Notamacropus eugenii: one gene and its partner. The protein of the gene in region 2 interacts with the protein of the main gene of each other region in a pairwise test. Links are inferred from orthologs where the notes say so. Each region holds a gene or a part of one and is shown on either strand. Other genes may lie near its edges.

The links.
Region 1: the proteins of GOLGA2 (region 2) and RAB1B interact in a two-hybrid assay, tested with the Homo sapiens proteins (2 studies listed by BioGRID and IntAct). The link is inferred for Notamacropus eugenii from reciprocal best matches to the Homo sapiens genes GOLGA2 and RAB1B.

Annotation. Positions count from the first base shown.
Region 1 is NC_092873.1:18,876,111-18,883,526, reverse strand, and holds the start of RAB1B (ras-related protein Rab-1B), read right to left. Parts: upstream 3,079-7,416; 5' UTR 2,981-3,078; coding exon 2,967-2,980; intron 1-2,966. Other genes in the region: KLC2 (kinesin light chain 2), read right to left, coding at 4,560-4,640, 5,033-5,090, 5,185-5,309, 5,415-5,570, 5,659-5,767, 5,855-5,922, 6,009-6,058, 6,166-6,265 and 3 more. UniProt on the Homo sapiens protein: The small GTPases Rab are key regulators of intracellular membrane trafficking, from the formation of transport vesicles to their fusion with membranes.
Region 2 is NC_092872.1:479,583,195-479,591,013, forward strand, and holds the start of GOLGA2 (golgin subfamily A member 2), read right to left. Parts: upstream 3,080-7,819; 5' UTR 2,902-3,079; coding exon 2,854-2,901; intron 1,205-2,853; coding exon 1,082-1,204; intron 468-1,081; coding exon 387-467; intron 1-386. UniProt on the Homo sapiens protein: Peripheral membrane component of the cis-Golgi stack that acts as a membrane skeleton that maintains the structure of the Golgi apparatus, and as a vesicle thether that facilitates vesicle fusion to the Golgi membrane.

The DNA of each region.
Region 1 (7,416 bases), on a different chromosome or scaffold from region 2:
ATTTAAGAAGCCAAGCCTCACAGGCTTGAGGCCACTTCAGAAGGATGGACGAAGAAAGACAGTGAGAAAGAGAAAATGACAGAAGGCCTGTGGGAAATGGCCCGTGGGGCAGCTGAGGCCTGGTCTGGCTGTTGTGTGAGGGGCTGAACATCCCCCAAACACGTGCACTTAGACGATGAAGGGATGGGAGGAGGGAGTCATGGTGGGGAGGGCTAGTGGAAGGGACAGATCAGCTTTTAAAAATATCATGACTTAAAAATAAGAGAAAAAACTACTGAAAAGGACAAGAAGAAACTGGTGTGTACTAAAGGAGGAGGCTCCATGTGGTGTAGGGTCTGCAGGAAAGGCTCTGACCCAGGGCCTGTAGCCTCGTGTTATGGACCCTTTGGCAGCTCAGCGAAGCCCCCAGACCCTTTCTCAGAACAGCATTTGTAAATAATGAAGGGAGATGCTCAATATTGCTTAAAGGTTAGTGAAAATAAAGATGGGGTTGTTTGTGTGCCCAGGTTCACAGCACCAAGCAGGGGAAGAAGCCGGGCAGAGGCTGCAATCAGGGCTCCAGCTCCCTGGCAAGTTCACTAAGATTCCTGGCCCTGGGAGCCTCAGAAGTGGTGAAGGCACCCAAAAGGGAGTGAAAGTAAAGATGGGGGCAGGAGGCAGGGGCTGCTGAGGCAGCCAGAGTATGGGGGCAGATCTCAGATTCTCCTTCACTTTCCCTATGGAAACATTCATCCTCTGTCTTCCCTTTTCCAGCCAAACTCCAAGAAAGGGTGAAGTATCTACTTCTGGTCCCCTCCTTCTGCTACCATTCAGTCATTCCTAACCCCTTGGGGTCTGGCCAGAGGTGTCACCCCTGGACAATCATCTCATGTCTGCTCAAGCCAACAGCTTTGCTCTCTCATGCCACAGAGGTCTTTGCAGGAAGGGACATGACTCTCTGAGCCTCTCATGGTCCTCTTCCTTAGCCTCCTTCCATGGCTCTTTGGTGAGTGTGCCCCAGGGCTCTGTCCTGGCCTAAATACACCCCTCCCTGCCGTGGCCACCATCCTCCTGACGGCTTCTCCTCACCACAATCCAGCCTCCAGCCAGCTGCCAAAGCTAAGTCCCTCTTGCTTCCCTAATATTTCTCAGCTCAAATGTAGACTCCTATCATTTGGAAATAAAGCCTTTCCCAGTCTAGCCCTCACGTCCCTTTCCAGCCTCAGCCCATTACTCCTGCTCACAAACCTCTCTGAGCCTCCCCCCTACCTTGCACTGGCTATGCCCAGGCCTTTCCTCCTAATGCACAAAGCTTTACAGGACCCTTCCCCCAGGTGACCTTATTTCCATTTTGTATACATTTGAGCACACCTCTATCCATGCTCCCCCCAGACAGGGCAGGGACTGGTCCACTTCTGGCCTGGCCATGGTACTTAATAGAAAAGCCTGTTGGTTCTCTCTCTAGCTCCCATGAGTTCAATCATCACCATGATACAGATGATCCAGCCCTAAGGGCAGTTCTATCACACTCATCTCTCCACATGTTTAGGATGGCACAGGTTTCCAAGCTCCTCTTCCTCCTTTACCCTCTCGTTCCTTTCCCTCCATCTTGCCAACGAGGCTGCCCCAGCCTGCCAACCTGGCATGGCTCTCCTGCCTTTGCAAAGGCCTTCCCCAAGCCTGGAGGATACTCTTTCCTCACCAGGGCAGTGTTTATTAAGCACCTACTGTGTTCCAGGAACTGTGGGAATACGAAGGCCCACAATAACCTAGATCCTGCCCAGGAGACAGCCTGCCACACAACCAAGTAGACAAAATGTAGAGAGGATGGCACTGGGGCTAGCCTCCCAGGGAAGGCCTGCAGGAAGCCATGGGGGTCAGTGGTCAGAGATGAGGGGCAAGCATTGGAGCCTCGGAGTCCAGAGATGGCGGGTCTTGTTGGAGGAGCGGCCAGGAGGGCCTGGAAAGGGAGCCAGGGGGCTGATTAGGAAGGCTCTGAATACCAAACAGCTTTTATTTGATCCTGGAGGTGACAGGGAGCCTCTGTAACTGACTGGGAGGGGGGGAGGGAGACCCTAGCTTTAGGAAAATCCCTTTGGTGGCATCCTCCGTTTGGAGGATGGACCCCACCAACAGGTCCTGCAATGGTCCCGGCCTGGGGTATGGGGAGAGGAGGGGGACTGAGCCCCGAGTCTGGGTGGGGGAGGGGAGGGAGGGGTCCTGGGCTGGGAGGCCTTGGGGGTCTGTCCTCAGAGGGCAGGGCCCTCTCAATCACTCTGAATTTGCTTGGCATTCACTTAATGTGTCTCTTCCCAGGGGATTACGTGGCCCTCGAGGGGAGCATCTCGTTTGTCTGCTGGGTGCCTGGAACACAGTAGGCGTCTAATAAATGCTTGCTGAGGTTTAGGTTGACTTCGGCACAATTTTTAGCGCCGGGTCCACACTTGGGGCTGTAGAGGAGTCAAGTTCTGTCTACACTGGAGACACCAGTAAGTCAGGTCCACACCGGGAGGGCCTGATGGGCATTCCGGGCGTCCGGCCCCCCACCCCCCATCACGCCCCCTTGCTGGAGGGAGACGAGATTCGAGGGGGGCTCCCGCTATGCTCACATGGGGGGGCCCGGAGGGACGTGGGTCTGTTTGGGGGGCTTCGGCCTGAACCTAGAAAAGTCCAGGGCCCCCATGGCCCTCCCAACTCCTGGGAGTTGGGGGGACAGAAAGAGGATGGAGAGAGGGAGAGCGGGGACTGCATCCTTCTCGGTCCCAGCTCAGGCTAGGGGGACGTGGGGGGTCCAGGCTAAGCACCCCCTCCCTGCAAGACCCGGATGTGAGGGGGGGGGGTCACCGAGGGCAGGAACCCGGATGTCAGGGAGAAGGGCAGCGGGGACCCCGGGCGGGGGCCCGATGAGGGGATGGGGACAAGTCACGGACGCGGGGCCCGAGGCCTCCCCGGTCCGAGGGGCTGGGGTTCGGACAAGGGTCACTCACTACTCGGGGTTCATGGCGGCGGCAGCGGCCCCGGTCGGTCGCTCCCTCCCTGTCTGCTTCGCTCCGCCTCCCGCTCCAAGATGGCGGCGGCTCCGCCCCCGAGACTCCGCCCCCTGCGCAGGCGCAGGCGCAGGCCCTCCCTTCTCTTTGTCGCACAGCGCGGCCTCTTGGAACTTGTAGTTCTCTCCTGACTTCATTCCCCCTTCCCGACTGCGCAGACGGCCGGACGCCGCGACGCAAGCGTGCCTCCTTGCTTGGACCGCCCCCGTCACCGTACCGCCTTCTGGGATTTGTAGTTTCCTGCTCCCTCCCCCAATCGGAAGGGGCTTTTCCCGGGGCAATTGGAGCCAGAATCTTCGCACCTACAGCCTCAGCCTACGCGTATCTCCTGCTCCACCCCTTCCTTTCAGCACGTCACCTACCACAATCCCCCGACCCTCAGGTTTCTCCGGTGAAAATGGGGGGGGGGGGGGGGGCTGGAACCCAAACCTCCGTATTTCTTCGTTTGATTCTCAGACCGCCCCCACGGAAGGCAGAGACAATGGAGTTCCCGAGCCCCCGGCTGCCCGAACCCCCCCCCGCACCCCCGAACACGAGGGCCCCGCTTCCACTGAGACACTGGGCTCGTCTGGATTCAAACCGTCTTTATTTCTACAGCAACGTCTGAACAAAGCATGTGGGCTCCCCGCCCCGCCCCGGCCACGAAGCGGGGACTGCAGTCCCCTCCCCCAGAGCCCGGGGTGGGGTGGGGGGGACCTGGGAGCAGCAGGAGTCCGGGAATGGCTCAGCAGGTGGTACCTGGGGAGGGGGCAGGGAAGGGCCAGGAAGGCCCTGGAATGTGGCTCAAAGGACATGTTTTTAAGGCCCAGGATCAACAAAGAGGGGAAAAGTTAAGAAAACGGTGTCAGCTCTTATAGACGGAGACAGGGCGCCTGGGTCCTACGCTGCTGGGCTTCAGGGGCGAGAAGGCAGGCTCCCACCCTGTGGGAAGGACGGGGGGCCGGTTTCTGCACTTGCGCGTCCAACACCTTGTCTGCAAGGGCTTAAGGCCAGGAAAGGGGAAGGGTGAAGGAAGGTACCACGGACAGGGCATGGGGAAGGGAGCGGCCAATAACTTATTTCTCTATATACAGAAGCAGAGGCCTGGGGAAGCGGGGTGGGGGAGGTTCCTAGTGTTGTCTTTCCCCAAGGCCAGGTGGGCCGGGCCGGAGGCTCCAGGGGCCCGGTCTTCACTTTCCTGGCTTCCACGGGGAGGAAGGGAAGAGAAATAAATACAGGAGGTGGGGATCCTGGCTCCTCTCTGCACTGTCCCCAGTGTGACTAACAGTGCTAGACAGGACAGGGAGCAGGGGAATAAGCCTTTAGCTGCTAAGCCTGAAATGACACGGGAGAGGTTACCCTGAGATCAAACAAAAAATCAGTGGGGGAGGAGGGCCTGTGGGAAACAGCCTTGGGGAAGGGCGGCTGAAGCAGGGCAGGAGGAAAGCTGAGGTCAGGTCTCCCCCTGCATCCCCCCCATCCCCGTGGGATATGACGAGCAGCCAAGGAGGGTCCAGGAGCTGGGGAGGGGGCAGGCCCTCCCAGTCCTCCCTCTTAGCCAACAAGAGAGCTCCGACGAGAGAGGTCAAGCGAGCTGGAGCTGAGCACTCGGCTGTCGGACAGGTTGGCGTCGGACTGTGGGCAAACACAGGGAAGGTTAGAAGAAGATCTACCCACCTCATTCCCGCTAGTCCTTGGAGTCTTTGCATGTGGGAACCACCCCGAGTCAGGTGAAAGGTCTGGAGGACGTGGGGATGTCTGGCCAAGGCCCCGCAGAAAAGGTGCTGGGGCAGCGGTCAGACCTTTGGCTGTTGGCCTGGAGAAGCATTTATCGGGCAGAGGTTGGTGCTGGCTGAGGGATCTCCTGCAGGCAAGGCAAAGTGGCACCAGGCTCTGAGAATCAGCCAGAGCAATGGGCAAGGAGACCAACTGAGCAAGGTCCCACAGCCAGGACTGTGGCTCCTGGCACCCCATGTCACAAACGGTCCCCTGGTGATAGTGCCATGGACTGGGCAGGCCCTCCTCACCTGGCTGGTCTGTTCTGCACTCCTGTGGAGGAAGTTGAGGGAGCTGGCTCGCTTCATCCTGTGGGAGGAGAGGAGGAGCTGACATCCCCAGGAGTGGGGGGCAGCTGAGGGGAGGCTAGGCCTAGGGGGGCCAGGTGGGGGAGGGCTCTCACCGGGGGTTGGGAGGCTCTTGGGGGCCGCCCCCCTGCAGCTTCTTTACCAGCATCTCACTGCTGCGCCGCAGGGCATCTCGGAGCTTCCCAAAAGAACCGCTTCTCCGGAGAGAACCATTGCCATCCTGGGGGCAGAGGAACCACTACGCTGTGCTTGCCTGCTCTCCTGTCCCTGCCCCTCCCAAACCCTAACCCTAACCTCCCCCAATGATCCCCAATGGCCCCCTCACCCCAGACCACTCGACCGTGGGCCCCAAATCTTCCGGCTCCGGCTCAGCTCGAGATCCTGTGCCACCAATAACCTCTCGGCTGCTCCGGCGGTCTCCTCGCCCACCACCATCTTTCAGCAGCTCTACCACCTTGGTCTGGCTCATGGCGTCCAGGCCCTGGTTATAGGAGGAGAGTGGTGAGGTGGGGGTGAAGCTGAGAAGCCCCTGATGCCTCCTACCCTGACCTCCCAGGCCCTGTGCCAACCTGCTTCCTACTGCGAGTGGCACAGTCCTCCAGGGTGTGAGCTGCCTCCATCTTCCCTTGCCGGCGGTAGAGAGCACCGAGGCTCCGAAGTGTGGTGTTCACCGTGGGGCTGGAGAAAATGGGCATGAGCCAGGGGTTCTCACGGTTTCTGCTCCCCAGCCCCCGAGACCCCCCAGGGTTCAGTTTTTCCTCTCACCTGTCCACTTTACATGCCTTGTACCAGCTGCCATATTCTCCATAGGGGGTGGCGTCTTGATGCTTCTCCTGAAGGGGAGGAAAAGTGAAACCTTGGGGAAGGAAAGGGCCAAGCCCCAAGGGGAGTTGAGCTCTGAGTTTCTCCTTCCCCATACCTTGCTTTCCTCCCTCTCTTCAGCGTGCATCCAGATAGGTTTGTTGTCTCCTGGGGAAGACAGAAAGGAGGGGCTGTCACAAGGCCCTGGAGCCCCAAGACCAGGTTAAAAGGTTCATCCCCTTCCAAAGGGCAGGATGGGCTGGGGGGACACTTGCCATTGACTGAGCCAAATTCCTTCTCATGGGCACGAGTCAGGATCTCTTTATACAGGGTTTCTGCATCTTGGTATTTCCCCTGCTTCAGATAGCAAGAGGCCTGAGGAAGGGGGAGACAGGGAGACAGTGAGGCCCCAGCCGCCCTACCATGCTGGGCCCACAGTGCGCCCTGGCTGTCCCTCCCCAGTGCCTCCCTTGGATCAGGCACCAAGTTATTCTTGGTCTTGGCCACGTTGGGGTCATCAGGACCCAGCCGAGCCTCATAGATCTCCAGAGCACGCCGGTAGTAGTACTCCACCTCCTCGGCCTTGCCCTGGTTCTGACAGAGGAGGGCCAGGTTGTTCAGCTGCTTGGCCACATCCGGGTGGAACTTGCCCAGCACCTAGGAGAAGGTGGAGGCTCCTTTCACTTGTGCCCTGACGCACCCCCCCCAGCTCCTCCCCCAGGCCCAGGGAGACAGGGGCCCCCAGATGGGTTCTACCTTCTCTCGAATCTCCAGGGCTCGTTTGCACAAGGGCTCTGCTTCTCTGTACTTGCCCCTTTTGCCATACAGAACCGCCAGGTTGTTCAAGGTAGCTGCCACCTGGGTCCAGGGCAAAGAGAGGAAAACGGCTGCAGAGGCCTGGCCAGCCAAGGGTCCTCTTCGCCCCACACCCCCAGCCCAGGGAGCCGGGCCTCACTCACAGCTGGATGGTCCTTGCCCAAGGTCTTCTCTCTGATGGCTAGAGCGTCATTGAGCAGGTGGGCAGCTTCTTTGTATTTATTTTGATCACTGAGAAGACAAGGAGGTGGGGGAGGGGCAGGGGAAGGACTGCTGGTCAACTTCCTGCTCCCCATCTATAAAATGAGGCTGCTGCCAGTTTGAGCCAGGACTCTGCCTGCTGGGCCACAGGGAGATTTTCAGCTTCTGTGAGGGGCTTCGAGGGGAGGAAGGCTGACCTCAGAGGAGTGATGAGCCAATGAGGGGCTTTCAGGCACCAGTGTGGGTTTTCTAGGTTCATACACCTACACCGGCCCCTCCTTTCTTCACCTGGGGTAGGGTCAATCCTATGGAGAGCCTACTTTGTACAGAATCCAAGGCTGCCTCTCATTTAGTCATTTTCCAGTCTTGCCTGACCCTTCATGCCCCTACTTGAGTTTTTTTTGGGCAGAGACACTGGAGTGGTTTGCCATTTCTTTCTCCGGCTCATTTTACAGGTGAGGAAACTGAGGCAAACAGGGTGAAGTGACTTGCCCAGAGCCACATGGCTG
Region 2 (7,819 bases):
ACCAAACAAAACTACATCTGTTAATTCTCAAAATCCCAACACTTCTTCATCCCACTCAAGCTGGACAGATGGTTTGAGGAGGGACCCAGGGTGTTTCTTACATTTTTTTTATAGTGACCAACAGACCAAAAATTTTCTGAAGACTCTCCTGACTCTACCTTTAGCTACAAAATGCATTTTACTTCCTCCTAGATAACAAAGGGGTGGGAGAGGGGAAAAACAAAACTAACAAAGTAGGAGAACATGAGGGAGTAATCAGGCCACCATGGGTTAATGACAGCAACAGAAAAATAAAGCAGGAGGTCATCCCCAAACCCAGAGAAGTCTTGGGGGCATGCAGAGCTGGGAAAGCAAGCCAGTGAGAGGGGACCTCGGCACTGTCTCACCTTCCGCTTGTCCAATGTGGGTAGCGCTACCCCATTGGAACGGTTAAGGTCGGACACCAGCACCTTCAGAATGTCCTGAATCTACAAGAGGCGAAAAGGGAGAAACAAAAAGGGAAGAAGAGAGAAAGAGAGGTGGCTTAGAGGGAGGAGATAAGAGTTGGGAAGAGTGGAAGGGACAGGCTTAAGGAAATGGGGGTAAGGATGGGAACTGAAGGTGGCTAAGGTAAGGACCCAATCCATAGACAGCGGTTGGGGATAGCCTTCCTAACATCTACTTTTGGCCTTGTTTGGGCAAGGCCATGTTAACATAATCCAGAAAAGCTGGAGAGAAGTTCACAGAATCATAAAATCCTAAAACAATAAAGCTAGAAGTGCCATCTAAGAATACTTAGTTTATCTCTTTTACTTCTTTTAAACAGGTTCAGAGGAGTGAAGTGACTTGCACAAGTCATGCAGTGAGTAGCAGAAATGAGACAAGAATCTAGATTTCTTGATTTCCAATTTCCAGGTCTTTTTCTATTATATGACTTCACTCCCACCATGACTTTGCTAGTATGTCTTAAAGGGAAGGGCAGGTGGCTTGGTGCCGTTTTCATTTGTAACGCTTCTTCTGGGGATAGGGGAAAACTGTCAGCTGAGTCAGGTCACCCCTTTTTCTCCATCTTTCCAAGGGAGTGTTTCTAATTAAGACTCACATCCTCAGGAGAGTGTCGGTCGCCAGATGGAGGAGTCTCGGGGTTATTCCCATCTTTCGTTTTCCTTTTTTTCTTGGCTCCTGCTGGGGTACCAGGGCTGGTCTTCTGTTGATACTCCTTCAACTTTGGAGAGGAAAAGGTTAGGGTTGGAAATGGCAAGGGTCATGATCCAGGGTCCAGGACAGTGCAAATTATACAATGAGGTGGGCTCAAGAAGAAAGCATGTCAAACAGCTAGGTTTGGATTCCAACTTTGCCCAAAGGCTCTCTAGGTGCTGAGAAATGATTCACAGCTCAGATGCTCAGTTTCCTTAATAAGTCATACTTCCAAAGTGCTTTAAAGTTTACAAGGCATGTTCCTCAGAACTAGTTGGTAAAAGGGGAAATGACTTGCCCAGATAATTAAGTGTGAGAACCCGGACTCAGCCTCAGGTGTCCCAACTTTAAGTCCTTTGCTAACCTCTCAAAACTAACTTCTCTCCCAACCCTAACAGAATTCCTCTCATTTTAAGTCCTCTCCATTCCTCCAATAGGTGAGCATATATTATCCCAGAGGGCAATGAATGAAAAGGATTGTGGTTCCAGAAATTTAGGTAATAAGAGGGTGTGGTGGAAAGTTGAAAGAAAAAACCATGGACCTTTCAAAAGAGTTAGAATCTGGGCAGAAACAATCCTCTCATTCACTTTTCCAGCATGTTTTGAATCTTTGAGAACATAAGAATCAAGGAACTAGATAAATTTAGGATCTTACTAGCCATCGTTATCATCAATGTTAAGTCTCTGAATGTACACAGTGATGCAGTCACTCCACGTCTTTGGAACTCTTTTGAAAGTGTTCTCAAGGGGCTCAAGAACCTCCTCAGTTAGTCATTTAAAAAATCCCGTCCATTTCCCAGGCCAGAAGGTTCTAATGACAACTTGGGAAGGGGGATGGTGGCCCAACCTCATTCCAAGTCCTCCCCACGAGTTACTCCGAGAGAAACAATTATCCACTCCCCTATAATATTACCCTATATGTGGTCCTTCCACACACACCTTTCCCTACCCCACCTGCGCACCCCCCCCCCTCCGTCCCTAACTCTGGGTCTGAGGCAAAGGGAGTCCGATGCTGGGGGTTGGGCAGGGTGCAGAACAGGCTGGAAGAGGTTTGGGAAGGGCTCCGAGGGAGGAAGTCCAGGACGGCGTCGGATTCCCACAGAGCGGGCGGGGCAGGCCTGGCTGCTGGCGTGCCCAAGCCTTCACCTTGGGGCCCCTCCTGGGGTATCTGGGTTTCGGTGGGAGAGGGGACGAGAGGCTCCAGGGGCCCCGAGACGAGCAGAGGGCATCTCCCTCCAGGCACCAGCTGTGAGAAGGGGGGAGGCCTTTCCGGGAGGCCAACAGCTGGGCCTGACGTCACGGGTCGGGCCCAGGGAAAGAGTGTCACGGGCCCAAAGTCACCAAGGGGGCTGCGGGGGAGGGGCGTGGGGCGCCAGGGATTTAGGGAAGTCTTGGAGGGCGCGGGGCTCGGGACCTGTGGGGTTCAGGAACGGGGACCTGCGGGACTGGGGACGAGGACCCTGAGGAGATCGAGGAGGAACACGAGAAGGTGGCCCTCAGACACCGGCGGGGGAGACCCGAGAAGAATCAGGAGGACGATCTAAGGGATCCGGAAGGGGGTCTGAGAGAAACGAGGAGAGCCTGGATCCGGGAGGGGGTCTGTCAGGGTCCTGGCGGCGGGAAAGGAGGGGGCGGAGCCGAGCCCCCGAGCGCAGGGGCCGTCTCAAGAGCATTTACCTTCTTTTTGGCCGCCGCCAATTTGCTCTGCCGGGTCTCGTCCGCCATCCCGGGCCGGGGAGGGGGAAGGCGGGGGGGGCCACATCACCGTGATCCCGGCAACCACCGCGGCATTCCATCCAGCAGCCACCGCGCCGCACCCGCTCCTCCCATAGGGAGGGCGAAGGGCGGGGTCGGACAGCGCCGCGCTTCCCAGCGTCTGCGCCTGCGCCGCGTCACCCGCCCCGCCCCTCTGTACTTGGCTACAGTCTGTCCTCTCGTCTCGCGGTCTGCTCACGACTGGCGCCGACGCTCCGGGCTCCTGGGGAGCCCGCTCGTCCTGGTTCGGGTGCGAGCCTCAGGCCCGCCGCCGCTCTTCTCCTCGGCAGCCCTGGAGCCCCGCGCGCTGCAGAGACCCTCGGGAGGGGAGCCCGGGACCCCGAGCCTCCGGAGGTGCGGAGGGGACGACACTCATCGTAGACCTCTCCCCCCCCAAGATCCTACACCCTCTTCGGAAACCCCCTGCTCTGGAGACCTCAGCCCCTTCCAGTGTGCCTAGCACGGTGCCTGGCTCTTAGCGGGCGCTTAATAGATGCTTGTTCTTCCCCCTCCCCCCATCATGAGCACCGTCATTCCTTCTAAAGACCCCACCCTCCCCAAAGATCCCACCCGCTTCAGAAACCCGTCTTAAGATGACGGCCCCTCCTTTAAGAGACGCCTTCAGTGAACACCATCAGACGCCTCCCCTCTGAAGAAACCAACGCACAGATCCAGCCCTGCCATTGGCACCTTCCCAGAGACCCTCAGCTCCGTTGGGACCTCTGCCCTTTAGGGTCTGCTCCACCTGTGCTTGGTCTCCATCCCTTCCGCAATGCCGTGTCCTGAACAGCCTGATTCAGTTTCCCTTTGCCCAGCCGTCCTCACCCCAGGGGGTCCCCAAGCTCTCAAGTAACCTTGTAGGTTCTCCGCTCTTCCCACCCCCCTGGGTCCCTAACCACTCCTCTTCCTTGGTTGCTTTCTAGGGCACGCCTGGGACTCTCCAAACGGCATTCGGCAGCTTTTCGATCCCCCGTGAGTATGCCACAAGCTCTGCTGCCTGTCCCTGCCCTGTGCCACACAGGCAGTGTCTTTCCCCAGCCTGCTGGACCTCCTCAGTTACAGCGCAGCACTCCATTCCTTGATCTCTGATTCCAGAGCAGACGTTTTCCTAGCACTTTACCCAAACCTTGCCTTTCCTATCCTACCTCATACCTCCAGTGTCTCCTTCCGCTTGTATCAGATTCATGCCGTCGTCGTAGGTGTTTAATAAATACCTGATGAATTGAATGACTTATCTGCCTCCTACTTGACTAAGGTGATCCAGGAAGGATATCTGATGTTATTTCATCCAGTATTCTCTACCTCGAAATATTTCTGCCTCTAGCTATGTTTTCTCACCCTCACCCCTCAGATGAAGTCCCACCCAAAGCTAACCTCCCCTTGTGTCTTCTGCTTTCTTTAGGCCTTTCCTCCATAATTTCTACAATCTTTTCCTCCCAACTGGTTGCTTCCCCTCTACCTTTAAGTACACGGATCTCCCCAATCTTGGGAGAGAGGGGAAAAACAAACAAAAAACTTTATTTGATCTACTGCCCCCACTAGTTACATCCCTCCACTTCTTTGCCAAGCCTACCTTCTGCCTTCGTTACCCACTTGCTCTTTAACCCTTGGCAGTCTTATTTCTTAGATGTCCAGTGACTTTTAATTGGCAAACCCAGTGGCCTTTTTTTATCCTTCATTCTCCTTTACCTACTTGCAAAAAATTGATACTGTTCTCTCCTGACTCCTTGGAACTCTCTCTTGCCTCTTCAAGTCACTACTATTCTGCTTTTTCAGCCACTTGAGTATTCGTTCCTCTGGCGCCTTTTCCGCATTTCCCTGTTCTTCTCTTTGTCTTTCTGTAGTTGATAACTTACTTTGTGGTTTTCAATTGTCATTTATTTTGCTGTTTGATCAGTACTTCTGTTGATGACTTTCAGATCCGTATCTGTCATTCTGAGCTTTCAGATGAGTTTTACATTTCCAACTGCCTCCTGGATATTTTTCCGTTTGGATGTCTTACTTTCATCTCACTAGATGCACTCAGTGCATCTAAAATGATCTGTGTCTCCTTGTCAAAATTGCCCCTTCCTCTTGACTTCACTGTTTCTTTTACCATTTTCCATGTTTGAGAAAACACAGAAGCATCTGTGATCCTTCGCTCTCCATCACCTCCATGTTTATCAGATCTTGTATATTCTTTGTAGTGTTTTTCCCACCTGTAGCTTTTCATCTCCATGGATACAACCCCAGTTCAGGCCTTTACCTGAATCTTACCTATGACCACTTCATTCATGAACTCTTGGCCTCCTCGCTCTTACCATTACCAGCCTTGCCTCCAACCATCATTCACACTGCCATTTCTAGGTTAATTCTGCCAAAACACATCATATTACCCTCTAGCTCAAAAACCTGTAGTAATGCCTAAATAACTAAAAGATCAGTTTGATACTTCTGAACCAGGTATATAAGACTTTCTACAATCTGACCTTGTTCTACCTTTCTAACCTCATTTCTAAATACTTCTTTTGCTCTGGTCATACTGGTCTTATTGTCCTTGCAAAATGCTAAGTTTATTCCCACCTCTGTAGCTATATTCACTCCACTCTGCCCTGCCCTTTCTTTCTATCTGAATCCTACTCATTTTTCTATTTAAAAAAAATTACATAACACCTTGATTTTGATGTAATTTCAATACAAGCTAGATTAGATTGTTATTTTTATTGATACATTTTTAAAAACCAAAATCATGGTGGCTAACATTTACTGGCCCCAGCTCATTCTCAAGTTATTCAGTATCTGATATATCCTTATATCCCATGATTTATCTCCAGGGATACTCTCCATGTATACCTTCTCGATGAAAAACCCTTATAATCCTTTTATCATAACCTATCATTCCATCTCTCCCTATGGCTTACTCCTCCTAAATCTCTTCTTCATCTGATAATGACCTCTAGACCATCCACTGGTCAGTACTTTCTCAACTTTGATCTTACAGTTAAACAGTTTGACTACTTTTGGCCCTCTGATTTTGATTTCCTTGCTCCCTTGTCCTGTTGACAATCATGCCTTGCCCAAAATTAACCATGTATTCTTCCACCACCTTCCCCTTTTACTCCTGCTTGTGCTGCTGAACAAAACTAGAGAATATCGTGCAACCACGGTGACTGGATGCATTACCACTTTATATTATCTAATCTTAATAGGGCCCTCCCTGTAGCAAAGCAATCCTTTTATTCCTCCCTAATTGATGCTCTCTGTCCCTCTTTGCACAGAGGCTGTTTCATTTTCTTTCCTCAAACCTCCCATACCTCCCCATCTTTCCCACCCTCTCAGCCAAGGAGTTCAACTATTTTTTCATATAGTTTTAATATTTTTATTTTTAAAAATTTTATTTATACAATAAAATTATATATATAATTATATTTATATATTTTAAAAAAATATTTTATATTGAATGTTGGAGGGGATGTGGGAAAACTGGGAATCTAATACACCGTTGGTGGAGTTGAGAACTTATCCAACCATTCTGGAGAGCAATTTGGAACTATGCCCAAAGGGCTATAAAACTATGCATACCCTTTGATATAGCAGTACCACTCCTAGGTCTATATCCTAAAGACATCCAACAAAAGGGAAAAGGAACTATTGGTATAAAATATTTATAGCAGCTCTTTTTGTGGTGGCTAAGAACTGGAAATCCAAGGGATGGATGCCCATCAATTGGGGAGTGGCTAAACAAGTTGTGGTATGTGATTGTAGTGGAATATTATTGTGCTATAAGAAAAGGAAGATTTCAGAAAATCCTGGAAGGATCTATATGAACTCATGCAGAATGAAGTGAGCAGAAGCAGGAGCACACTGTGCACAGTAACAGCAATATTGTTCAATGAAGAACTGTGAATGAGTTAGCTATTCTCCTCAGTACAATGATCTAAGACAATTTCAAAGGACTAATGATAAGCATACTATCCACCTCCAGAGAAAGGAACTGATATTGATTGAATGCAGACTGAAGCATGCTATTTTTCACTTTCTTTCATTTTATTTTATTTGAGTCTGCTTGTCCAAAATGACTAATATGGAAATGTTTTACATAATTGTACATGTATAGCCTAAATCTGATTGCTTACCACCTCAGGAAGGGGAAGGACGGACAGAATTTGGAACTCAGAACTTTAAATAAAATGTTAAAAAATTAGAAAAACATTCATTTTTTAAAATTTTGAGTTCCTAGTTCTCTCCCTCCCCCCCTTATCCATTGAGAAGGCAAGCAATATTGTATTAATTATACATGTGAATTCATGTAAAACATAGCCTTGTTGCAAAAAAAAACCCAAAAAATGAAAAAAGTATGCTTCAGTTTGCATTCAGAGTTCATCAGTTCTCTCTGGAGGTGGATAGCATTTTTCTTTGAGAGTTTTTTGGAATTGTCTTGGATCATTGTATTTTAGGGTAGCTAAGTCTTTCACAGTTGAATGTCATTATAATATTGCTGTTACTATGTACCATGTTCTCCTAGTTCTGCTCACTTCACTTTGCATCAGCTCACATGAGTCTTCTCAGGTTTTTCTGAAACCATCACCTTCATAATTTCTTGTAGCACAATGGTATTCCATCATAATCATATGTCACAGCTTGTTTAGCCATTCCCTAACTGATAGGCATCCCATCGATTTCCAATTCTTTGCCACCACAAAATAAGCTTCTGTAAATAGCTTCATACATGTAAGTGCTTTTCCTTTTCCTTTGATCTCTTTGGGATATAGACCTAGTAGTAGTTTTGCTGGGTCAAAGGGTATACGCAGTTTTATAGGACTCTAAGACGTAGTTCCAAATTTTTTTCTTTGCTGGATCTTCATCCTGGTTTCCCTCCATCAACTGAGTATACACCAGGGCTTTGTCT